Schizosaccharomyces pombe: one gene and its partners. The protein of the gene in region 3 interacts with the protein of the main gene of each other region in a pairwise test. Each region holds a gene or a part of one and is shown on either strand. Other genes may lie near its edges. The genes, in order: tea3, hal3, ypp1 and ntu1.

What was found.
Region 1: the proteins of ypp1 (region 3) and tea3 interact in a two-hybrid assay, tested with the Schizosaccharomyces pombe proteins (one large-scale study listed by BioGRID).
Region 2: the proteins of ypp1 (region 3) and hal3 interact in a two-hybrid assay, tested with the Schizosaccharomyces pombe proteins (one large-scale study listed by BioGRID).
Region 4: the proteins of ypp1 (region 3) and ntu1 interact in a two-hybrid assay, tested with the Schizosaccharomyces pombe proteins (one large-scale study listed by BioGRID).

The regions. Positions count from the first base shown.
Region 1 is NC_003424.3:3,213,450-3,219,997, forward strand, and holds tea3 (cell end marker Tea3), read right to left. Parts: upstream 4,825-6,548; 5' UTR 4,619-4,824; coding exon 1,241-4,618; 3' UTR 1,064-1,240; downstream 1-1,063. Other genes in the region: DNA-binding transcription factor Thi1, read left to right, coding at 1-857; cardiolipin-specific phospholipase Cld1, read right to left, coding at 5,503-6,548. UniProt on the Schizosaccharomyces pombe protein: Acts as a cell end marker required for efficient new end take-off (NETO), whereby growth is activated at the cell end to generate bipolarity in extending cells. Also required for proper placement of the septum.
Region 2 is NC_003424.3:3,721,371-3,726,666, forward strand, and holds hal3 (thymidylate synthase), read left to right. Parts: upstream 1-2,385; 5' UTR 2,386-2,462; coding exon 2,463-4,340; 3' UTR 4,341-4,551; downstream 4,552-5,296. Other genes in the region: SPOM_SPAC15E1.02C (uncharacterized protein), read right to left, coding at 1-386; rpl42 (60S ribosomal protein eL42), read left to right, coding at 1,139-1,438, 1,629-1,649; ect1 (ethanolamine-phosphate cytidylyltransferase), read right to left, coding at 4,552-5,296.
Region 3 is NC_003424.3:4,541,402-4,547,446, forward strand, and holds ypp1 (cargo transport protein Ypp1), read left to right. Parts: upstream 1-2,434; 5' UTR 2,435-2,672; coding exon 2,673-2,681; intron 2,682-2,720; coding exon 2,721-2,832; intron 2,833-2,888; coding exon 2,889-5,356; 3' UTR 5,357-5,545; downstream 5,546-6,045. Other genes in the region: SPOM_SPAC637.03 (uncharacterized protein), read left to right, coding at 1,153-1,962; vma2 (V-type ATPase V1 subunit B), read right to left, coding at 5,679-6,045. UniProt on the Schizosaccharomyces pombe protein: Involved in endocytosis.
Region 4 is NC_003423.3:4,241,745-4,248,651, reverse strand, and holds ntu1 (regulatory protein ntu1), read right to left. Parts: upstream 4,908-6,907; 5' UTR 4,653-4,907; coding exon 4,563-4,652; exon of another isoform or gene 4,495-4,562; intron 4,293-4,494; coding exon 4,262-4,292; intron 4,155-4,261; coding exon 1,792-4,154; 3' UTR 1,226-1,791; downstream 1-1,225. Other genes in the region: SPOM_SPBC16G5.17 (transcription factor), read right to left, coding at 1-834; DNA-binding forkhead transcription factor Fkh2, read left to right, coding at 5,990-6,501, 6,794-6,907.

The DNA of each region.
Region 1 (6,548 bases), 1.3 Mb from region 3:
GTGATTTACATTCTTCTGTGGTTTTTGATGAATCGGCTGTTCAGCATCCACTCTTCCGGTCAAATGCACATGTTCAAATGATATATGATAATGCGATTATGCTTACTACGAGAGTTATTATGGTAAAGAAATTAAAAGATAAAGATTTAACTGCTGAAAATCGTCGCTACATCCAGCTATGTGTTGAAAGCGCAACAAGGGTCATAAACATAGCACATCTTTTATTAACACATAAGTGTTTGTCCAGCTTATCGTTTTTCGGGCTGCATGTTCCATTTGCAAGCGCACCTATTTTACTCTTGTCTCTTCATTACGAAAACTCTCAGGATATTCAAGCTGTAGTCACAAAATTATGGCAGGTATTGGAATTTCTGAGTTCAAGGTGTGAATTTGCTAGAGAAAGTCTAAACTACCTTAAGTCATTTAACAAACAGTTATCTAGGCGCAATGCCCCAGACATTAATAATCCGATTGCAGATTTCCAAAATAGTTTTCAAAATTGGCAATCCTGGGTGGGAGATATGTCACATGGAGACATGCTTTCTACCTTTAAGCTTACAGGAGAAAGCTCAAATGGTAGTAATAGTACTCCAAACGAAGCATTCCAACCTTTTGACCAAACATCATCTCTCTATAATGTTCCGGGTCTAAACAAAAGTTATGTTAGTAACCAACCCAGTTTGCTCACACCTGAAACTTTTCTACCGGATCCAGTTCTCAATTTGGAAGTTGATAAACAATGGACGGCTCCTACGTTTTTGAGTTGGACGGAACTGCTAGGCCCTACTAATGTCTCTGAGCAGTCTTCGCATACTGCAGAGCAAACTTCAAATTTGACCCTTGAAAAAAATGGATGAATCTTTAATGGTTTTTTGCAGGTCTTTGTTTGTTTTAATTATTTCTACGTAATTCATCATATGCTTTGTTCGCGTGGTTAAGGAATTAGCATTTAATACCAGTTTAGTAATTTGCACTTGAGAGTATCCTCATCAATCTAATACTTTAAATTTTCTCTTACTTTTTAAAAGTTAATTAAATTTCATTACTTTTTAAAATATAAATGAGTCAATGTAAATGCAGTAGAAATAATTGCGTATTTTATTGTTAAATATAGTGGTAATTTACATACGTAGTCAAACGACTTGAGATTAAGTAGAAAAAATCAAACCACTTCAAAAAATTATTAAGAAAATTGTACAAACCAAAAAAGAGATAAAAAATCCTTAGTTGATGAATAGAGTTACATAAATGAATGACTAAGCTGCTGAAATGACTCATCTGAGCAATTGGCATATGTTATGGCTTTTTGATAATCATCCTCCAGTTGCTTAATACGACTGGCATAGTAATTATCATCAATTGCACGCATTTCTTCACCTGAAAATGAGCCCGCGGTATCATTTAGTTTTGAGCGAACATCATAATAATCTTTAGATACCTGAGGGGACAAAGACAAAAATTTTTGCTGACTGTTGATAACATCAGAAAGTCTTTTATGTAAATCATTGTTATCCGGGGCTTTTGTTTCTTCAGATGTCATCAAATTACCAAAATGATTACGATATTTTGTAAACACACCACCAGAAGGTATGTCAGATTCTTTTGAACTATGTGCAGCACTAGCATTATTGAATGAATCCTCTTCGTTAAAGTATGATCTTAAGGGAGAGGAGGAAGCTGAAAAGTCCGTAGGAAGATGAACGTCAGTAGAGTCCTTTCCTGATAACTGTTGATTCATTTTTGAATCAGCCAATGCAATTTGTACCTCAGAGAGCTTACGCTGAGTAATTTTTGCTTGCTCGGTAAGATCATTGACCTGATCAGAAAGTTTACTTTTCTCTGTCATTACAGAGGAATATGAATGCTTTAGATCATAGAGCTTTTGCTGAGAATTTAGTAGCTCTTTAGTGCGACCCTCACAAAGTCTCTGGGACTCACGTAACAACTCGTGAAGCCCTTCTAGCTGAGACTCCAAGTAGGAGATCTTTTGTTTCGACTTCGAAAACTCTTTAAGATTATCTTTATTTTCGTTAATAGAAGATAATAACTTTGATAATCCGCTTTGCATTATAGCTTTCGAGTATTTAGCATCAGACACTGATTGTTCTAAGGCTGACTCCAACTCTAGCGCACGAGATTGCAAATTTTCCAACTCAATCCGAACATTCTCATATTCGTACTGTAAATTTAAGCACTTCTGTTGCAACGTACTTTTCTCATCCCTTTCTCTACGGAGCGAATCTTCAAAAGACAATATGGCAGTATTGGACACATCAAGAGCACTAGCGGATGCTTCAATCACATTTGTCTGCATCTCCACTCGATCATGCATCTCAATTAGCTTCGTTTCCAGCTCATAATTTCCATACTCCAAAGCCTCGCAACGAGAACGATAATCGACTAACTCTTCTGAAATTTGCAATATCTGTGATTGTAGGTTTTCATTTTCTTTTTGTAAAGATAGTATTTTTGATGAATCTTCTTCAAACACACTACGAAGTTTATCATAATCTACACAAAGTTTCTCATTTCGAGATTTTAAGAGTTCAGAAGCGGATTCATTTTGCTTCAATAACTGTTGAAGTTCAGTATTTTTTTGATAATAAGAGGTTGCCTCTTCAAGAGTCCCTTGAACTTCGTACTCTAACTTTCCAACTTTTTCTATTAAAGATCCAACAGTTTCGTCCGTTGTCTTTTTCTGGATCAGTGAACGTGAATAATTTGCATTTTCCACGGCAGCATCTCTCTGAGCAGCCAATTTTGCGTTTTCAGATGCTAGGCTAACGATTTGCTTTTTAAACTTTTGTTCATTAGATTCAAGCATTTGCTCAATCACCTTCAGTATTTCCAAATAACTGAGCTGCTCTTTTTTCTCAAGCCTCAATTTTTCATCAACGTGTTGAAACAGGTTAGGAGGTTTGAGAGTATAGCCTTGTTGCATACAATATAACAGTTGCTCCTCAAGCCAAGCTACACGATCATCAGAATTAGAAAACTTAAAATCTGATTGGAGTTTAAGCAGAGAATTACTTTCACTTTCGTTGATTGGAGATGAAGATTCGGAAGACCTAGAAATAGTATCGTTTCCATTAGGTAAAGGAAGAGACGCAATAGGTTTCTCAATTTCGTAAGCAAAGGGGTCAGCTTGCCCAAACTCGTGAAGAGAGAAATCTGCTGAATGATTCATTCCAGAGGTTTTACTAAGGTTTCTCAAAGAATGTAATCCTTGTTCATCCAAGCTAGCATAGTGCCGATGCCTAGCTGATCTTACGGCTTTTTGATTTTGCTCCAAAAAATTGTTAAATTGACTAGACGAGGTGGATGTCACAGAATTCTTTTTGGAATGATTAGGACGGTCGTTTAGGTAACCAAGAGAAACCGTGTGGTTTGAAGCATTTGAAGGTTTCATGCTAATATGCTGAAGAACAGGAATATCAGAAAATTTATCCTTATCCCAATACAAATTTTTGGGATCTGCTTCATAACATAACAGTTGCTTAGGAGCGTCAAGTGCATTAAGATATAATAGTAAAATATGATTGTTTTTTGAAACAATTTTGTATGAAGATGAATCAGAAAGCAAAATAGGGATCGGATTTGAGACTAAGGACCACCGCTGTTGACTATAATTAAAAGCCCAAAGCTCGTTGAGTATCAACCCTTTATTATCACGACCACCATAAATGTAAACCGTGTCATCTATTGTAGTAGCTTGATGACCTTCCCGCGGACCTGGAAATCTTCCTATAGAACGAACCTCGGTCCATGAAAGTGTTTCTAAATCAAAAAGCCAAAGATCACTTAATGGACCAGTATCATTATGCCCTCCATGTACAAATATTTTTCCTTGGACAAGAGTAACTGAGTGATTTGAACGAGGTGGAGGGGATGAGCTATGCAAAAACGGTGTTTCCCATGACCAATCAGTCTCATCAAATTCCATATTAGCCTTTTCAACATTATTTGCATTTGCCTTTTGCTTGAGTTCTGATTGCGTCCTCCGATCAACCCCTTTGGTATCAAACAAATGTATATCATTCAAATATTTTCCTTGACATTCACCCCCAAATATCCATAATTTAGAGTCAACTAACAACATAGAATGTCCAGTGCGAGGCGATGGTAAGGGGGACTGTGTTGAAACCAAATTCCATTGATTACTCTTGAAATTGTATGCGTACAATGAATTATCGCCAACTTCAAATGTGGAATCTGTTTCTGAGTCGCATCCTCCGAAAAGATAAATAGTGTCAGCAGAACAAACGATAGAATGACCAACTCGAGCAGGAGAATCATTGTCTTCCCCTCTATTGTGAGAATAAACCGTGCATGAATCCAGGTCCAACTTAAACAAAGAGTTTGAAATACCAGATTTTTCTCGTCCTCCATGTAAGTACATGAATTTTTCATTCGCAGCATCTAGACAAGAAGCCGGTTTTACAGCTTCCCATTTAAAACTTTGGTTCGTAGATGTCCTTTTATCATTTTCTTTGACTTTGCGAACAACCCATGCACGTATATTTTGCTGATCAATGCTACCGGATTCCACTACATCAAGCTGTTCAGCAGACACATCCTGAGAGTTATCCGATTGACGGCTTAAAACCTTTTGAACCATGTATTGCGATCTTTACCTTGCAAAATCGCTTACTGGTTTTGCAGTTGCAGATGGTAATCAAAGCGAAAGTTTAATCCAAGGAGTTTTTTAAAAGGTTCGGTTTTTACGCTTAAAAAAGAAATAAAATAGAAAAAATATATATTTTAGTTTTAAAAAAGAATTAAAAAGTAAAATTTTCGAAATAATATGAAAAGAGCATAACTTGTGGAGGGTAATGGAAACACACAGTCCATCAGGAAACGGCAACTTAGAGTAGAGAAGTCTTAGAACAACGAATACAATTGCAATACCCTACAATAAATTTTTGTAATACTGTATGATGTTTATAATTTATATCTTCATTAAACATAAAGAAGGGAGAGTAGATACAAGTTTAAGCGCAATAGTATACATTACCGTTGAATGCTCTGTTTGAATTGAAATTTAGAAGTACGAAATATGCTTCACGTTTGAAAAGCTTAGAGCAAGAAAAATGTATTTTTCCAATTACTCTATAGGATAGAATTTAAAATAGACAACCACAAAAACTGTTATTTACTTTATAAGCTAATTGTAGTAAATGGCCTACAAATATTACAAAATTTGATTTATAAGGCACATTTTAAAAATAAAACATTTGAAAACACATGCTGGACAAGTAATCGGACAAAAAAATAAAATTGCGATAAATGAAGCAAATGAGCGTCAATGCAATAAAAATCGATTCAAAATGGACCGATAAAAAGTTAGGTAAAAAAAAGTCGTTCAATTGGAATCCAAAGAATAATGTGTAGTATAAATTAATGAATGAGGTCTATAACAGCATCACATGGGATAGTTTGCAGGACAAGAAAGAATAAATAAAAATAATGAAGCACTAAGCGAAGGGCATAAAAAATAAAAATTTACTCTGAAATCGAAGAAAAAGAACGTAAACTCATTCGTATCTCCTTTAGTACAATCTCATTAAAATCTTCAGGGTTATCAAGATAGCAATGGTGACCAGCATTTGAAATTATGTGGTGCTCCGCCTCAATATTCATCTCCTTCAATCTGTTTGTCGCTTCTAAACCAGCAACATCATCCATCCAATCTTTATCTCCATACATGAATATAGTTCGACACTTCAACATGCGCAAGCGATTCATAATACATCGTCTAGCGAAAGCTCCGGGAGCGAGCAAATTGCCAAGTGCATACTCGCTGGAACCCTTGAGACGAAATATTGAGTAGCAGTAATTATGTAATGCCCTAAACGTTTCCGGGGGAAGCGTTGAAAACCTTCTGCTAGACCAAAAACTCATTAGTTTAGGACCTAAAGGCCCGCTTAAACGAAGTAGAGAAAATGGTGTAACATTTTGCTCCCATAAGAAGGTGATAAATCTTGGAAGAGGATTCTTTGGCTTGCTTGGCCGGGAAGGCTCTAAACCTGTAGTTTCCTCTTGGGTTTGCAGAACCTCATTAGTAACATTACTTAAAGGAGGTTCATCCATAACAGCATGCACAGCAGAGGAAGCAACGGAATTGTAAACTTCCGCATCATCGTTGCTTGCAAAAGGGTTTTCAGGAATGGCAACTGGACTAACTAGTAAGAGTTTCTCAACACGTTCCGGATATTGCATGGCGTAGACAGCAGACAAATAACCTCCCATACTATGGCCCACAAGGATCATTTTCTCGATACCATGACCGATTCTCCATGTTTCTAATGACTCAGTGAAAAACCTCTCTGTTTCTTCGACCTTCTCTGAAGCGGTTTGCCCCTTGATATCGAAAGGCGGTCTTGACGAGTTTCCCATGCCTAGCCAATCAACAAAATAAGAATTAAAATCCTTTGTCACACCCTTAGTCAAACCATCCATGTTCCGAAAGTAAAAACCAAGACCAGCTCCATACCCATGCATGTAAACAATGCTTCGCTTGTTCGCTTTTCCTGTTGCTTTATCACTAA
Region 2 (5,296 bases), 820 kb from region 3:
GAAGATATAGTTTTGACAAGGATGTAAGGGGTACCTCTGCTTTCTGTGAACATATAGTCGACTACGTCGGGCAATCCAGATGCACCAAATACATAAAGACCCACGAAAAAGGCACCTTTGAGTGTCACAGTGCCTGTAAGTTGCAACAATGCAGCGATCGAGTACGACTGAACTGCTGTACTAAGGAAATTGCTAACATAAGTTGTAGCAACCTTCTTGGTTTTACTTCCAGCGTCATATTCGACGTGAGGTGCAGTGCTCATTGCCCTTTTCCAAATATCGCCCATTAGGGGTCCATAAACGAGGAAAGAAGCAGCATGGTCGAAGGCAATCCCCAAGAGAATTGCACTAGGGCGTACATACGGCATGTGAGTGTAGGATGGCATTTCTTGTATTAATATTTAGTTTGAGTTAGAACAAGATTAATATGAATGTGAATATTTTGTAAAATAAATGTTTTGTAATTAAAGGATTTAAGGGCGCTACCACTAAATATATAGTATACTCAAGGTCCAATTATGGATTTAGGTACAGATTAATTTGGGGCGTCACTTTGACGTGTCGATGAAGTATGATAATTGGGAAATACTGCTTAGCCTGACTTGACTTGTTTTAAGTCGCTATTTCGCTATTTACATAGTGATATCTACATCATTTTCCTAAACTTTTGGTGGAGCAATATCTCATACTGTTCGGATGCTGTGCCAAGTCTTGCATAAAGAAATCAGTGAAGTCGATAAATATAAGATTTGGAGTGCAGCGATGGTAACAACTAGTGATTAAAAATAGAAATTTACTACAATAATTTTCGCATGTTTTACATTAAAAAGCCCTCACAGAAGAATCAAAGTTGGATTGAAATTCCAGCACTAAAACAATGTAGCTTAGAAATTTTGTTTGCTGGCCCACATTTGATATATTGCAAGCTTGATCTTACGCAGTAAACACTTTTAGGGTAGCTATCGGTTGTTCACACTATTGCGAACAGTGCGTTGAACGACATTACAGCAGCAAGTAAACCTAACCTAGAGGAATAAGAAACAGTCACATTTGTACAACAAGGGTTTAGCAGAGAAACTTTATGCTGTCGAGTTCCTAATCACCACCATCTAACCATCACTTATAAAAGTATCAAAAAATGGTGAACATTCCCAAGACCCGTAAGACTTACTGTCCTGGTAAGAACTGCCGCAAGCACACTGTCCACAGAGTCACCCAATACAAGAAGGGACCTGATTCCAAGCTTGCTCAGGGTAAGCGTCGTTATGACCGCAAGCAAAGTGGTTTTGGTGGTCAAACTAAGCCCGTTTTCCACAAGAAGGCTAAGGTTACCAAGAAGGTTGTCCTTCGTTTGGAATGCGTCTCTTGCAAATACAAGAATCAATTGGTTTTGAAGCGTTGCAAGCATTTCGAGCTTGGTGGTGAAAAGAAGACTAAGGTATGTCGAAGAATGCTGATAACGAGTGGATTGGATTTAGACGAATTTGTAAAAGAGTTTTTGCCGTGGTTGAATACCTCTCAAATCCAGAAAAAAAATTTTGCAAAGCGCTTTTATGAATTGTCTTTTGTTGAGTTTCATCCTTATTATCGATCATTTTCTTTATTTCATCTACTAACAATCATTTTAGGGTGCTGCTATCCAATTCTAAGTGTTTTAGCAAATACAATTTTCTTCTTTTACGGTGATCCTAAAAGCAATTCAAAGTAGTGTTTCATTTGTATTGTATAAATAATGACATGATTCCGATAGAGTAGCACACAAAGTGATGAGTTGTCATCAATTAGCAGTTCGCTAACGCTAAGGTCTGTTCTCAATATTGGAGCAATCTTTTTCGAGTGTTTCTAGTTCCATCGGTTTGAGTCAGAGCTTTTCAAGACTTGTATTACTGCTTGAGTAGAAGACAGGTGTTGTGATTTCGGAAAATAACCCATCACATTTGTCAGCATGTTAACTAAGATAAAAGTAATCAAACAAGTACAGCGTAAAATAGCGAGAGTACTAAAGCATCAAATATGCTTTCAAGTATTGCAAAAAAATTTTCTTTAAATTATCCATGCTTACGGGTCTTCTAAGGTTTAGGAGACTATGCCATTTGCCGAATTATGGATATATTAAGTAACTAATTGCTAATAGTGAGAGTGTAGTGCATCCTTGCATAACGGCACTTGGATTTCACACTGCAGGCATAATAAATAATTACTTTTTTTTGGTACTAAAGCAACGTACGTTCTTTGTTTTTCTGCGTACGACGTGTACAATTCCCTTGCAAAACTAAGGTTCGCTTGTTCAATTGCTAAATTTGTTTTTGTGGACGACCATTATAACGCGCTTCAATGAGTTTATAAAAGTTTCATTAAATTGCAGTACCAGATAAATCGATATCTAACCTTCTCCCTGCATCTATAATCTCTAGCTTCACCAACATTAAGGCCCGTCAATTACTTTCGTTTCGTTGGCCAATATGTCACAACCTTTGCATGCCAGGTTTGCTACCAGGGCTGTAAAAAATCCCATGATCCTTGAGAAAGAGCGACAACTTACGGATTCTAAATATCATATTTTGGTCGCTGCAACGGGTTCGGTTGCGGCGATAAAATTGACATTAATCGTTAAATCCCTACTGACATACAAGGGCGTCGACGTTCAAGTCGTTTTAACGGATCCGGCTCGTAACTTTGTTGAGAAAGAGGACTTAACGGCTTTGGGTGTCAATGTTTATAACAATGCGGATGATTGGAAAAATTGGGACGGACTCGAATGTCCTATCACACATATTGAGCTACGTCGATGGGCACATCTTTTGTTAATTGCCCCTTTAAGTGCAAATACTATGGCCAAAATGGCAAATGGTCTCTGTGACAATTTACTTACCTCTCTTATACGTGCCTGGGCCCCTTTAAAACCAATTCTCTTGGCTCCCGCAATGAATACCTTGATGTGGACTAATCCTATAACTCAGGAACATTTGAGCGCTATTAGCAGAATATACAAGAATAGTGAATTTATCATGCCAATCGAGAAAGTGCTTGCCTGTGGTGATATTGGCATGGGCGGTATGGCCGAATGGAGAAACATTGTAGGCAGAGTTGCCGATAAATTGCAGCTAGAACAAAAGTCTGTCTTGCCGAACGCTGTGAAAAACATCGATGGACAAGATGATGACTCTAGTGAACAAACTGCTGCTTTTGAAGAGTACGATGATGATGATGATGACGATGTTGATGATAATGAACAATCCAACAGTATGATTGAAACTTCTGCAAATGCAGATATTACCCCCAAGGCCTCTCTTTTACCCTCTACTACAGAATCTTCTATAAGCAAAGATCACGAGACCTCCCAAGCTCCATTAGGCTCGGAATCGGTGGATACTCAGGCCTCTGAAAATGTTACTACCAAACCCGAACCTCCTGTACCATTTACTTCCTCCGAATATAGAAATACAGAAGAAGAGCAATACCTAAATTTGATTCGATATATCCTTGAAAATGGCCAGTCGCGGCCCGATCGCACGGGAACTGGTACGAGATCGGTATTTGCTCCTCCACAACTACGCTTTTCTTTAAGGAATAATACTCTACCTCTTCTCACTACAAAGCGTGTTTTTTTACGTGGTGTGCTTGAAGAGTTACTTTGGTTTATTCACGGTGATACTAATGCCAATCATTTAAGTGAAAAAGGGATTCATATATGGGATGGCAATGGCAGTAGAGAATTCCTAGACAGCAGAGGGCTTACTGATCGTAAAGTTGGTGACCTCGGTCCTATATATGGTTTTCAATGGAGACATTTCGGAGCGCAATATGTTGATTGCGATACTGACTATACCAATAAAGGAGTGGATCAGCTGGCTCAGGTTATATCTACCCTCAAATTAAACCCTTATGACCGTCGTATAATTCTTTCAGCTTGGAACCCATTAGCTATTCCTGAAATGGCTTTACCACCTTGCCATATATTTTGCCAGTTTTATGTCAGTGAGCCTTGCAAGCCTGGGGGAAAGCCCCAACTTTCTAGTATGATGTATCAGCGCTCTGCCGACATGGGGCTTGGAGTTCCTTTTAACATTGCTTCTTATTCTCTCTTAACACATATGATAGCTCACATGTGCGGCTATGAAGCTGCCGAATTTGTTCACGTAATGGGTGATTGTCATATATACAATGATCATTTAGAGGCATTACAAACTCAGTTGGAAAGAGTTCCTAAAGCTTTCCCTAAGTTGTTTTTCAAACGTGATGCTAAAGACATAGGGTCTATTGATAGTTTCAGCGTTGATGATTTCGCAGTTGAAGGTTATAATCCTTATGGCCCTATTAAAATGAAAATGAGTGTCTAATTATTAGCCTTTCTTATATACGTTTGCTTCGTTGATGATTTTTGAAGTTGAAACACAATTTCTCTGTAATAGATTTTTTAGTTAATGGATATCAAAAGTTTAATAGCGATTGTATATGTTCATTTATAAAAGTTGCTAAAGCTTATTTAAAAGAAACGACAAGATGTTTAAAAGGATATTATGCTGTTAATTACTAAGACCAGGAGCAAAATTATGCGTAAGTTTTAATGGTCGTTTGTTCTGTAGCATTTTTACCCATTTTTCGACGCTGCCGTTCTTCATAATGCTGCCGACGTAACATAACCCGCTGCTTAATCAAATCAGAACCCAGCTTATCAAATTTATAAAAACTATTATTTGGGGTATTGGAAAGGCTAATGTCAAGCGCTGGTATGCTCACGTCAGTGGAAAATATTGGGTAATATACTTTCGAGATCTGCTCATCAAAACATAACTTTATGTATTTAGAAGATGCAAACAAAGATGCTGGTGGAGGACCAACGAGGATTGAAGATATATATTTGCATTGTAGTAAATTCAAGATACGCTCTAACAGATTAAGCATAGGCTTTTCGAAACATTTCTCATCCGCGAAAATACCTGCCATAATTGGAATACCCGGAAACATTCGAGTACAGAGTTCTAAAGCAGAAATATGCTTCTCTGTAAACAAATCCCAATCACCATCAATGTATATTATGTTCTTTTCGGGATTCAACCTTAGCAAGGTTGTGCCCGAAATAAGGGTTTCTGGCTTCTCAGTGTTATATATAAAAACATCAGTAAAAGGAGTTAGCCCGTCGGAATCAGTTGCAAATCTTCTGAGGAGATCAATTTGGGAAGAAAGTACCGATACAGGTGTAGAATAAATCTCTAAAGGAACCGAACTAAGTAATCGATCTAGGAGCTCGGTAGTGCTCACTCCCTCCGTCCTTTTAACTTCTAAGTATTGGTCT
Region 3 (6,045 bases):
TTGTGGTTTTCTTATACGGAAAAGATACAGAACAATCCACGGCTAAAGGAGATCCTCATCCAACAACCCGAGAAAGTCTATCATTTGGATGAACGGATACTCATCCAAAACTTTCAAGAATTGTGTTTTTTTTGCTTCTATCTTCAATGCCCTGTATCGAACTGAATTGCGATTGTCATTAATTTGCCTTGCTATGCCATACCAAGCCAAGCTATTTTAAGCAAACGGTTTAGTTGGACTCCAATAATAAATGCTTTACAAAAAAGAAATGCGATTGATAAACTAGAACACTCTCCAATGTATGTCTACCAATTCCTAAATACTTTCAATTCGCAACATTCTTATGGCCTTTGTGGTCGCTTCAATTCGGCTTTGAAAACCGGGTTAAAAGGCATCGCATAAATTTGTATCTTCCAAAACAGTTGATTTTATAAAAAGCTCATAAATAATTTCTCAGCGCGAGCAAATGGTAATTTCTTTGAAATCAGCGCCTTTGGAATTTTCATTTTACGCCTTATTGACATTCCCATCGATATACGTAACATGTTACTCCATGATACATGGTTTCAGCTGATGCCAAGGCATCGTTGCGTAAGCATTACGAAGGAATATGATGATGGAAGGAGGCATGGGTTGGGCAGTTTCTGCAGTCTGCTAAATTTAAATAGTCTGCCTATATATATTAAATCTCTCGCACTTTTATGACCTTCCCTCTCCCATACATATTTGCAAGTTTGCGTATAACGTTGCTTTCTAACACAATTTACTTTTAATCCACTTCAAACACTTGGTTTAGCTTTTAAAGAAAAGCTTAGGATTTTGCTACTGTTTGTTACGAGGAATTGTTGCAGAAGAATTCAATTTTTTTAAGTCGTATTTACCAACGATTTTATTCAATTTAAAAAGTTTGACTTTCATAGGCTGTTGCTTAGTTTATCGTCAATTCCTTGCGTATTGCCGGAACCTAGTTAATATCTAAAAAAACACAAACAAACCAAATTCCAAAAGTGGTTGAAAATTGCCGCTTCGCTACTTTTACTATCTCCGGGAAAGAAGACCTGTAATTTAATTTTTTCTTCTTCTTCCAATTCGTACTATTAATATTACCGCTAGTTTCTTCTTATTCTTTCGCCTACTACTTAATTGTTCAATATGCAAATTACTCGTGAGTCAAAATACATTATTGGGCTCGTCTTAGCCTTGGGTGTAAGCTTTGCTACCCTTTTGGCTCATTTGTTTACCAAACCATCTCTTGAATGGGTTTACAATCACCATGCCACTCCATTTTTCGCCAACAAGTTCATGCTTGGTGGCTACCTCTTGGTCGAATACTTGTCTTTCCTTTTGATGATTGTGCCCCTTTTAATGCTTGGTGATCAGGTAAACGATTTTACCTTCTCCATTATTCACACATCTATCTGGTACAATGTATTTGTCGTGTTTACCGTCTGGGCATTTACCCGTGAGAAGCTGTACTGGACTGCATTCTTTTCCTTGTGTCTATTCTCATCTTCTTTCACCATGTACGGCCAATCGCTTCGCTTGAGAAATGGTTTTGTTGAGATGATTAGCATGAAGTTGCCCTCGAAACTTGTTTTTGGCAAGTCTCTTTGGTTCGTTGTTTATGCCTTCTCTGCCGCTTTACACTGCACCGGCATTGGTTGCCGCGTCTTTTCTAATGTGTTTATCTGGTTCTTTGCCGCCATGTATCTTGTTCCTATTTTAGGATTCCATGACTGGGCTCTTTCCCTCGTCAGCGCATACCTTTTCCTTTCAATCGGTATTGGACAAATGTTTATTCACCTCTTTGCCTTGCAACACATTTTCGCCTTTATCATTGCTGGTCTCATGACCCTTTTCGCTGCTCTTCTCTTCCTCCTTCCCTACAGACAGAGACGCGCTGCTTTAACAGGCGAGAGTGCTCCTTTGCTTCAGGACAACAACGCGGGACCCGCAGTTTAAACTCTTGTAGTCTTCTGCATGTTGTTGCTCCGTTCTACTAAATAGTATGATAATGAATTTGCTTAATTGTATTATGTTACACTTAACTTTAGTATAAAAATTTAATTTTTCTCCCATAAATCTTTCGACTCAAAATTCAGGTGGATAGCAGATTAAAGCATAGTTTTGACGATCAACTTCATCATGGTTAATAGCACCCTTCTTAGTATAAAGTTGCTTCGTGTGCTAACTTTACAAGCACTTCATTGACGAAGACATCCAGCTTATTCTTATATGGATCACGAAAGTGTCATCATATTCAACTATTCGTACTCTGGCTAACTTGTACGCTAATTATTTAATCTTATTTGCTTCATGTATTTATTAAAGAACCCTTAAAGCAAAAAACTTGGTATACACTACTTTTTCTTTACTTAGCTCAATATCTCAATTACTTTCTCATGCCGACGGTTACGCACCTCCATTCAACCTTGGCCTACTCCATATATCGAACCATCAAAATTCCTTCATCTTGGTATTCTTGAGGCGTTAAATACCTTCTTTAAACCTTTTCTTTTTACAATTCCTTCGTTTTTCTTGTTACTGTAAATATATATCAATTTATTTAAAGTTTGCGTTCAAAGTTCTATAAACGAATTTTACGTTCCAACTACTGCGTTTGACCTTTTTTTTCTCTTTATATATACAAATACCAAGTTATAAAAAAATTCATGTTTTCCGTACGTCTAAACTATGAGTTTTCATACTGACTGATATAGGCTAAAGCAAAAACCTATGAACTAAAACTAGAACAAACAAGATGTAATGGAGATTGGCAGGCAATTCCTGAGGTTGCTAGAAAATTGCATAAGCATAACTCTTCAAAGTCCTGTGAGTGATTTACAGTCAAAGTTTTCCACTTGTCATCTAGACTAACCTTTTTTTAGTCGTTTGTGAATTAGCAAAAATTGAAGCTTCTCTTAAATCAGCATTAACTGCTGAACTAAAAAATATTGCAAACGTTTTGGAGCCTAAATTAATAGATAATCAGTATTCCCTAATTCCGGCTTTACCCAGTGCTCGTACCGACCCTCTTCTAAGTCAATTAAACTCATTGAACATTCAAAATGCCACAGAAGATGAGAAGCTTCAGGAGACATCCATACGCTTGTTATTATACATTGTACAGCGTAAATTTCCCGAAGCCGTAGATTTAGATTGGTCTCCTCAAGGAATTCCGTGGACTGAAACTTCCACTGGTATATGCATCCTACAAGCAACAGTGCTATCATCGCTAGCTCAATATGCTCAAGCTAACGATGAAGTTGCATATCAATACGTTCGTTCGGCCATTGGCTTAATTCAAAATGCCAATATTGGCAAGAAGCCTTTACCGGAACTTACAAGATGGTGCGATCTTGCATATTCATTGTATGCTCAAATGTCTGTAAGCGCTTGTTCGAGTCAATTAGAAAGAGCTAATATACTTACTACATGCTTGAGCTATTTTACCGAGCATAAGTCCGTGAATTTGCTTTATAAACTAGTTACCAGCAGACAAGCTATTAAATATTTGGAACATATTTTAAGAACTAATACAAATGGATCAAAAATTTTTACTAAAAGTCCGGTTAAAAATCTTTATTTAAATTGGCCTCAACTTGTCCTCGATTATGGGTCTTTGTTATGTAACTTTACCTCTTTTCCTAAAGCTGGTGATCAAAACATGTTCGCCGTTGAATTTATTGAACTTGCAACATCAATATGGATAAACACAGAGAAATCTTACGATATCACTGTCAGCTTGATTCGAATGCTTTATCAGCTTACTGGAAAATGCTTCCAAGCACAACAAATTTTTCGTTCTTTGGTATTTTTTTTAAGGCATATTGAGGAATTTGAAGAAGCTAGCGAGGCTTTTGAAATTTACAAGTTTCTATGCGTAAAATCTCACGAACGGTTAGCAAGAAAAAATTCAGATGTCGCTGGCTCTTTTTCTGATATCAAACCAGTGTTTGTTGATGAACCGAAAAGTATTATTGAAGTATGCTCCGTTATGATGACCGTTTATGCGCAATATCTTCGTAATTTGAAAAAAGTTTCTGAAATACTTGATTATATTACAAAAATTGCTTCTGATTATGATTTACTGAAACGTGACGATATTGCTCCTTTAATTTATCATACAGAAGGAGTTGCTTATTCTTTCATGTATTATCAAGCTAACAACCCTTCGTTAAGGGAAAGATATCACCAGAAGAGCGTCCAATCTTACCAGAAATGTCTAGAAAAGCAACCAACCAATACAAATGCACTTTTCCATTTGGCTATGCAATATTCGGAGAGACGTGCCATTACTGATGCAATGCAAATTGTTCGGCGACTTCTTGAGGTGAACCCTAAGTACAGTATTGTATCTTGGCATCTTTTGGTTTTGTGTGTGTCTTGTTCTGAACAATACGCAGCAGGAATTAAGCTGATCGATAGTGTATTTGAAACTTGGGGCATTAATCATGTCAATGAAGATGGCACTATTGAGATTAGTTTGACAAATTTGACATTTAATGACCGCTGCGCTTTGGTCGATTTATTGATTACGAAACTAGCTCTTTTTGAAGCCGAAAAAGGCGTAGAAGCTACTCTGGATATCCAGGATGAAATATTTACATTATTTGCTAGTATTTTTGATTTGAATGAGTACAGGATATCAAAGGAAGGATCGTCAGATGAATTATCAACGCTTTTAGAACGATCGACTATTCAATCCATTAAATCATCCAAGAAAATCTCTAAAGATGTGGAAAATGAAAAAGGAAGTATTCTTGGGTTTTCCAGGAAATCATCGCTTAAGAGATCTACTGTTTTAAGCAAAAAATCCCACTCTTCCTATAAAGAAAATTTTCAGTTACGTCGTGGTAAAACCGTATCATATCTCAATCAGAAGCTTTGGCTTACCGCTGCATCTCTTTTCCTTAAAAGTGGAAATGATGATCAAGCACGAAGCGCTTTACTAGAAGCTAAAAAAATAGACCATGAATGTGCTTGGGTGTACTATTTAAATGGTTTATCTTTACTACAACAGGGAAAAGAAGTTGAAGGGTATGAGCAACTTGACGTTGCTCATTATTTAGACCCGGAGGATCCCTTAATTTCGACGGCCCTTGCAAAGTGTCTTTTACAAGGTGGCTATGGGCCTATGCATTCTCGTAGAAATAGAGCAGATGCTATTTTATCGAGCTGTACTTTGCAGTATGGCTGGGATCTACCAGAAGCTTGGTATTATACTGCAGAAATATTTCGTCAACTCGGTGATTTAAAACAAGCTGCGTTTTCGTATGATTATTGCATCCAGCTAGCTGATACAAACCCTGTACGCCGATGGAGTAACTTGCAGCCTAGGTTTATGAACGTTTAAACTGTCTACATTTTTTGGACTTTTATTATTTATAAATTGAATTTACAAACTTTAAGGCACTTTCAATAGTAATTTATATGTTTCCTTTGTAGTGATTGTAACTTCAATATGAACTCACATAATAGACATAAATAGATAAATGTTATTTATGACATTGTGTTAAATTAATAACGAAGCAATTGCACCTTGAATCAGTATCTATAACAGTCTTCTTTCCAAATCACCAACAAACAAATAGCATTAGATAATTGCACCGAAAATAACGATTCAAGGACATTTCAAAATTAGCGATTATTTGGTCTGTATTTGCAGCGTCAAAAAACTAAGAGCTTTCAGGAGTGTTGTCTATAACATCTTTGGAAGATTCAGTATAGGCAGAGGATCTTGAATAATATTGATCCAAAATCTTCTTAGGAATACGAGTTAACATCTCACGAGGGAAGATGCGAAGGAGGGACCAAGCCAAATCCAGTGTTTCAAAAATAGTACGATTCTCGTAAGCACCTTGACTAATGAAAGTCTTTTCAAATTTACCCAAAAATTCAAGAGCAAGGCGATCTTCTTGAGAAAGGGCTTCCTCGCCAACTACTGATTTCATGGAAGCAGCATCACGACCGATGGCATACATTGCATACAGCTGGTTAGAAACATCACCATGATCATTTCTAGTCATTCCTTCACCAATGGCA
Region 4 (6,907 bases), on a different chromosome or scaffold from region 3:
AAAACATGCGTAATGAATTGCATAACATAGATCAGTGTTCATACTTCGAAACTGGTTTCGCATGCAAAGTTGCGCCCTTATAGCATGCAGTCGAATTCTGTCAATATTTCTCCATAGTCGAAATATTACCTCCTCATTTAAAAAGTCATCAATTTTTGAATTTAATGCATCCGATAGTTCAATGGCGCTATGATTAACAGCCGAAAAGTATCTTTCAATATTTGAAGGAAAGGATTCTAACGAAAGTGCTACCGCAATTGCTGTAACTATTAAAATAATAGAAGTCGCGAAAACATGGTTAGAATTTTTCAGATCAGATAACAATTTATCAGCTTGCTCAAAATCTAAAATATAATTTGTTACATTAAAAGTATTAGCATAAACTTTTAAAAGGCTTTCGCATACATCCCAAGGAGGGATAGTTTCTAAAATACATTCTAATCGTTTTTTCAATTTAGGATCCGTTTCTAAAGCTTCTCTTAAACGTGATTCTGGATCTCTCTGAACAATACCTTGAAATTCAGCCGAAGATTTCAAAATTGTTTTCCAGTCTACGAATCCAAACTTCTGGGTTTTAGGGAGGTTGTTTTCTTCCAAACGCGTCCGAGTCTCTTGATGAGCAGAACTATCTGTTTCTCTAGTAATTGGTCGGCTTAAAGGTTCTTCAAGAAGTTGGACTGCTTGCTCGTTTACTCCATATGTACATGATTCTTCACTCTCTTTACATCGAGAACAAGGATATTGGCGGTCACATTTGACTTTTCGGCGCCTGCATCTCAGACAAGATCTAGCTCGAATATTTTTGTGGGCCCTATTTTTAGATTTCCCAACCATAATTTACCTAATTACGGTATTTCTTCTGTAGTAGAAAGTTGGATATTTCTATAAAATACAATTCACCATAAAAAATTATACGCACAAACTAAAGGTTTCATTCAGTATTAACCTGATAACCATCGAACTTTTAAGCTGGGATTATGCTTCAATTGAATCGATGAGACTACTAATATTTTACTGCAAACATTTTTATGAATGCAAAGGCGGTGTCAACGTTGTGTGGTGGTAAATATTGAGTGTGCAGGCTTAATTATTTAAATTCTTCAACGTCTAAAATACAGTGTAAGCATCAGATCTCGATACCATTTTTTTCGCAGAGCTTTTATTTAGAAGATTTTTATAGGGATCATTTTTTTAGCCTAGATGCCAAAGGTACTCAACAATACGTTCCACAGTTGGGTTTGCAGTTGCTTACAAAATAAACAGCTAATTGTCATTTTAGTAATTATACATTCCATCGTGAAAGAAAATGCACACTATTAAAGTTTTTAGTTCATCAATTGCTTTGCAGTAATCCATTATAATGTAGAACTTCAACGTAACTTTACTCCAAAATTTTTAGCTTTTAACACTACTTGGTTATTCATTGCTGATAATAATGCGCGTAAATATCACTAGCTAATGGACATGAAGCAGTAGGCTAACTCTCTAAGCTTGATCAAAAGATCAAAAAGCAAATCTATCACAAACATCTAGGAAGACAGATAATCTAGATATTCAATCGTTCTATTATTCAATAAACATAAAAAGCTAATCATCAACCAAACAAAATATCACTTAATTAAAAGGAACAAAAAATAAGTTTTTTAAAAATGTCAATGTTTTTTCTCATGAGCAAACCCTAAAAGTTGGAGCTAGAACCCTTATTAAAGATAAAAAGTGAAGCAAGAATTATTGCAGAAAAAAAAATTTTGAAAACAAAAGTGAGTTTCTATGCTTAACAACATTGATCGCTCACTCGGTTCTTTTAGAGTTTGAGGAACTTGGATGGTCAGGAGAATTATTAGAACCATCTCGGACAGTAGGATAAGCAACTTGGTTAGTCATGGAAGGTGGTTGAATGAAGGGATACGGCATGCCAGATTTTGCAGCTCCAGGTGCCATCATAACCCCTGAAGTAGGCAGTGGTAGCATTTGTTCTGACAAGGGAAAAGGCGGGTGCTGGTAAGGATACTGTGAATATGCTTGGAAAGCCTGAGGCATATTCGAAGTTGGACTCATGTATGGAGGGTATGAAGTATTATACGGGAAAGGTACTGGAGAATAGGTGTTCGGAACATAAAAACCATTCGCTGTTGGCATTGAAGAACCATAATTAATCATAACCCTATCATGAGGGTATACATTACCATCAGAATAGGAAGGATATCCGTTTTGTCTAGGATAAGATTGATCCTGTGTACGCCCACCATACGTAGGCATAGGGAAATTTGTTGGTGCATTTTGAAACTGGGCAGGATTATAGTAACCTGGGTAAGGAGCATCTGAATAAAATATTTGTGCTTGCGGAAACTCTCTAGGTATATTACTAGTTCTCTGCGAAAAGTTGTTTGGTAGTTGTCCTGTAACATCCGGGGTCGCATCCAAATTTTCAGTACCAGATGAGTTCATATCATACGCAATTAGCAAGTTCTTGATTGCCTCCATTATTGTACTATAGTAAGTGGATTCGCGGTATATCATTTGTAGACAATGAAATCCTAATCTTGCCTTAGTTATGAAATTATTAGATTTATTGGCATCGTCCTTCGTCAAAGTAGCACAATATGTCAAGGTCATTAACGCGTAGTATCCAGAATACAAATTGAAAAACAGTTTGGGAGTATTTGGAGATTTGGCCAATTCCTGTAACAAAAAAACAACACGCTCCGCAGATTGTGCACACTTTAAAGCAAAATTTGCAGGTTTCATTGGCGACCCATTCTGATTATCAATTGGTGTACTAATACTGTGAATAAAAGGGCGATAGAAAATGAGTTCTATTTGCCTGAATTTCAATTCCAGTATTATTGCTTGGATCCATTTGGGTGAAAATTTTGGAACTTCGCTCATTTTTAAATAAGAAGGTAAGTTTTTCCACCAATATGTAAGTTTTTCTTCATGATCACGAACAGCTGGTAATGAAACTTTACAGTGTGAGTCAGAGGGCGATTTGACTGGATACACTTTCCTTACAAAATGACTTAAAATACGAGAAAGCGTTATGTGTTGTATAAAAACTTCCAAGCTAGTGCATTCTGATGCTATTAATCGTGGAGGAACCTGGTCATTTTCTAATGTGAAATCAAAAGAATTGGGTAACGATTGATCAATATCAACGTCCTCAATACTGAGAGGAAGACCAACAATTGTACTGGTGTAACAAGCCAAAACGTACACAGAATAAAATACCCGTTTGGATAACCGAGATTCATGAGATGTGAGAACGTCTGAAAAATCCTTGTGCAATCCCAATTCGTGGCAACACAATAACGCATTATTCGTGAACGTATAAGCTTGAGAAAGTCGGGAACTGAACAAAGCAAAAAGCGCAACAGACAATAAAATTTGCACAACTTCAATCGTATAACTATCTTCCCATGAAAATGAAGACCGAATGTAATAGTAATACTCGTAAGCTTCATGATAAGGATAGTTAGCACTAGGAGATTCATCGGGCATATAGGTGTAACCCAAGCACAATGTAGCGACAAGTAAAAAATGAAAATTGTTATCAGTCTTGCCAGTTTTGTAATACATATGCATCTTCTCAAAGAAAGATGCAGGATGATGAATATGTACCAAAAAATGGTCATTCATAAAAAATTGGCTAACAATAGAAAGAGCCTCCTCATATGGAGGTAGCTGAATTTTGAGAGGCGGTTTTTTATGTTCATCTTCGGCAGGGGTGGGTGGAAGATACGGAAAAGATAAAGGATCTGGCTGAGAAGAAGATGAATTAGATTCTTGGACAGGATTGGGAACCGTAGAATTCCTCGCAATGTTTTGATGTATATTTTTCATAAAGACAAAGCCAGAGGAACTTCCACGAAAGTCGGCTTTCCCATCATCTTTTAAACTCAATTGTCCATACCGGTCGAATAAGCTTTCAAACTCGTCCTGTGACGAGCTTCTTTTAGAGGAATCAGAGCGTTTCCAAGGAGATTGGTTCACAGGAGAATCTTTGTCATTTGGAGGAGCCAGAAATGATGGCAACTTTAAATTTGGATCGCTTTCTTCAGCCAGTCCCCTCAGATATTTCAATCGAAGCTCCAAAAATTCTATATACTTCTCAGGAGCATGCCGTAATCGCTTAAAAGGTTGACCATAAGTACATTCTTCAACAAAGTTAGAAAACTCCATCCAATTATAATAGAGGCTTGAAATAAATTTTAAAGCGACTAAACTTGAAGAAAATAATCTCATCTAAATTGTAGGCACTTACCATAGTTATATGCTATGCAATTCGAGCAAGGCTGAAAAAGTTAGTAAAGAACAGAAATTTATATTTATTTCTAATCGCTCATCCAAATTAATGCAAATAAGATAGAAAAAGAGCAATAAAAGCCAAAAAAATAATAAATTAACGACAAAGGTTATCCGCATGCTCTCTAGCTGAACTGAAATCAATCAAGCTACAATCAACTTCAGAGAAAGCGGTAACTGGGTGAAGTGAGTTCTCAGTTCCCAACTCAAATAATAAAATTATGCAAAACATAAATAGAGCAAAGAAATTGACATCTTACCCTTCTCTGATCACATTTGATCTTTCTCCTGTGACATTCATCACATGCTCTAGAAACACGCTGTCTACGAGATACATCGCCGGAAGACATTCAGCAGCCTATCAATAAACTATGTTGAAGCCTGCTAACTTCAAACTTGAGGGAGAACAGGTCTTTTAATTTGTATTTATCGAATCGTTGTTACCGGTTTTTACAACCGAAAGTTAACGCAAGTGAGCAAAAATGCAGTTTATCATTCAAAATTTAACGCTTTGAAACTAAAGGAATTTGGTGCTTTAGATAGGTAAATAAATAAATAAATGGTGATCGCTGCGAAGCGATTATGGATGATATACGCGACAGGTTAAACCTACGAGAGTGTGTGCCAGCGATCGTATACATCCGCTAAATAGTAATTACTCGTTACTTCACGTTAGCATACATGTGTAGGTGAAGCAATGAGATTATACCATGCTAAATGTTTTTGTTGCGGTATGTTAAATATCGTTATAAGCCTGACATCTTCACGTGTGAGTTCTCCAATGAGTCCTGAAGCTGGAACCATCAAGCCGTTTATTGACTATTTTCAATATTACTGAAGAAAAAAGTATGGGAAATAAAGATCATTCAAGATCAAGTTTGTCTGTTCATGTAAGCCACATATTATTTATTATAATATCAAAGTCTCTCCGTGCCTGAGTTATGTTCGGTAACTGTATATTGCATAATACTTTCTGTTGTGTACCACACATTATAGTGCGCTACGAACTCACCAAATAATATTACGTATCCTACAGAGACTTCGCGAATCGCGTAGTTAGTAAAAATATGGAAAATAACGTGAGTAAACAGTTGAGCGTTAATATTGCAGCCACACAAAATCGGTTGATTGAAAGCGAAATAATGATTCGGAATTTCCATAAAACACAATTAATACTCTTAGTGTATTCATGTAATAGCTTGTACAGTTCTCAAAATAAATCTTCAGTAGACACGTTTTAAATAATAGGGTAATTACTAGGATATGCACGCGACCGTTAGACGCCATTACATGTGCAAAAAACACTGAGTGCTGAAAAGCTAAAATTATTACAAGTCTTGCAGAGTTATGATTGTTTGAGTTTTTTTTTTTTATAAGTTAATCCTACGCCAATATATTAAGAGGATTTTTTTAACTGCTTAGTATTTAAAAAAGTATATCGAAGATCCGGTATCTTGATTGTTTACAAAAATATAAATAGCAACGATAACAAAGACGCATTGTTGACAAAAATAAAAAATGTACAAATATTTAGAAAAATGTATATTTTAATTTCTATGTATCTAAAATGATGGTCAATATTAGTTATACCGTGAAGCGCTGGCAACGGAAGGTAAACGAATGTTGACAACAACAAACGAGTGTAAATAAACACACACCAACAGCACAATTGCTGTAGAAAGGAAAAATGACTGTTCGCAGACTCGAAAGCAAGTCTGAGCATATATCAGATGACGAGGAGAGAAAAGAACAGTTAGATTACAAAAAGCAAATGGATGTAGACACAGATCGTAACATTGTATTGAATGGTCGCCTGGAATCCCAAATTGCGAAGTTGTCCGTTCCACCTCACGAAATGAGAGTGGTCGATGATTATTCGAACAGTAAAAATGCGGAAAGACACTCTGGAGAAATACAAGCTTATGCGAAATTCGCTGGAAGTACATGGACTTATTATGTTAAGAAAATTCGAATTATACTTGGTCGCGAACCAGCAAATCCTTCACCAAAGGGGAAAAATGAAGATTTAGAAGTAATTGATATGAATTTTGGTCCTTCTAAAGTTGTGAGTCGAAAACACGCTGTTGTGGAATATGATTTGGATGACCAAACATGGAATTGCTCAGTTTACGGTCGAAATGGCATTAAAGTAGATGGCAAGTTATTCAAGAATGGGGAAACAGTCAAGCTTACAAGTGGGTATGTTAAAAATCATTTACTAGAATAGTGTTGGTTCGTCGTGATTTGCGACAGGACGGAATATTGATGGTTTCAGCAGCGCATAATTTATGCTTTACTCTTTCATAAGTTCTATGGTTTTCTCGTGTTATTTGTCAATTTTAAACGAATGTTTGGTTATTTTATAAATGCGCGTTAAGGATTTGTCAAATTATCAAGAAAATAATTATTTCCGTCCTAGTTCAAATAAATGCAGGAAATTATGCCAATTATTTTTTTTTATTTCTTTTTCGTCTTACTAATTATCTACTAGATCTATACTCGAAGTAGCGGGTTTACAAATGATGTTCGTACTACCCAATGCAGCTGAGCAAAAGCAAACTGACGAAAGCACTATAAAGGAGGATGCTATAAAGTCTGAAATTTC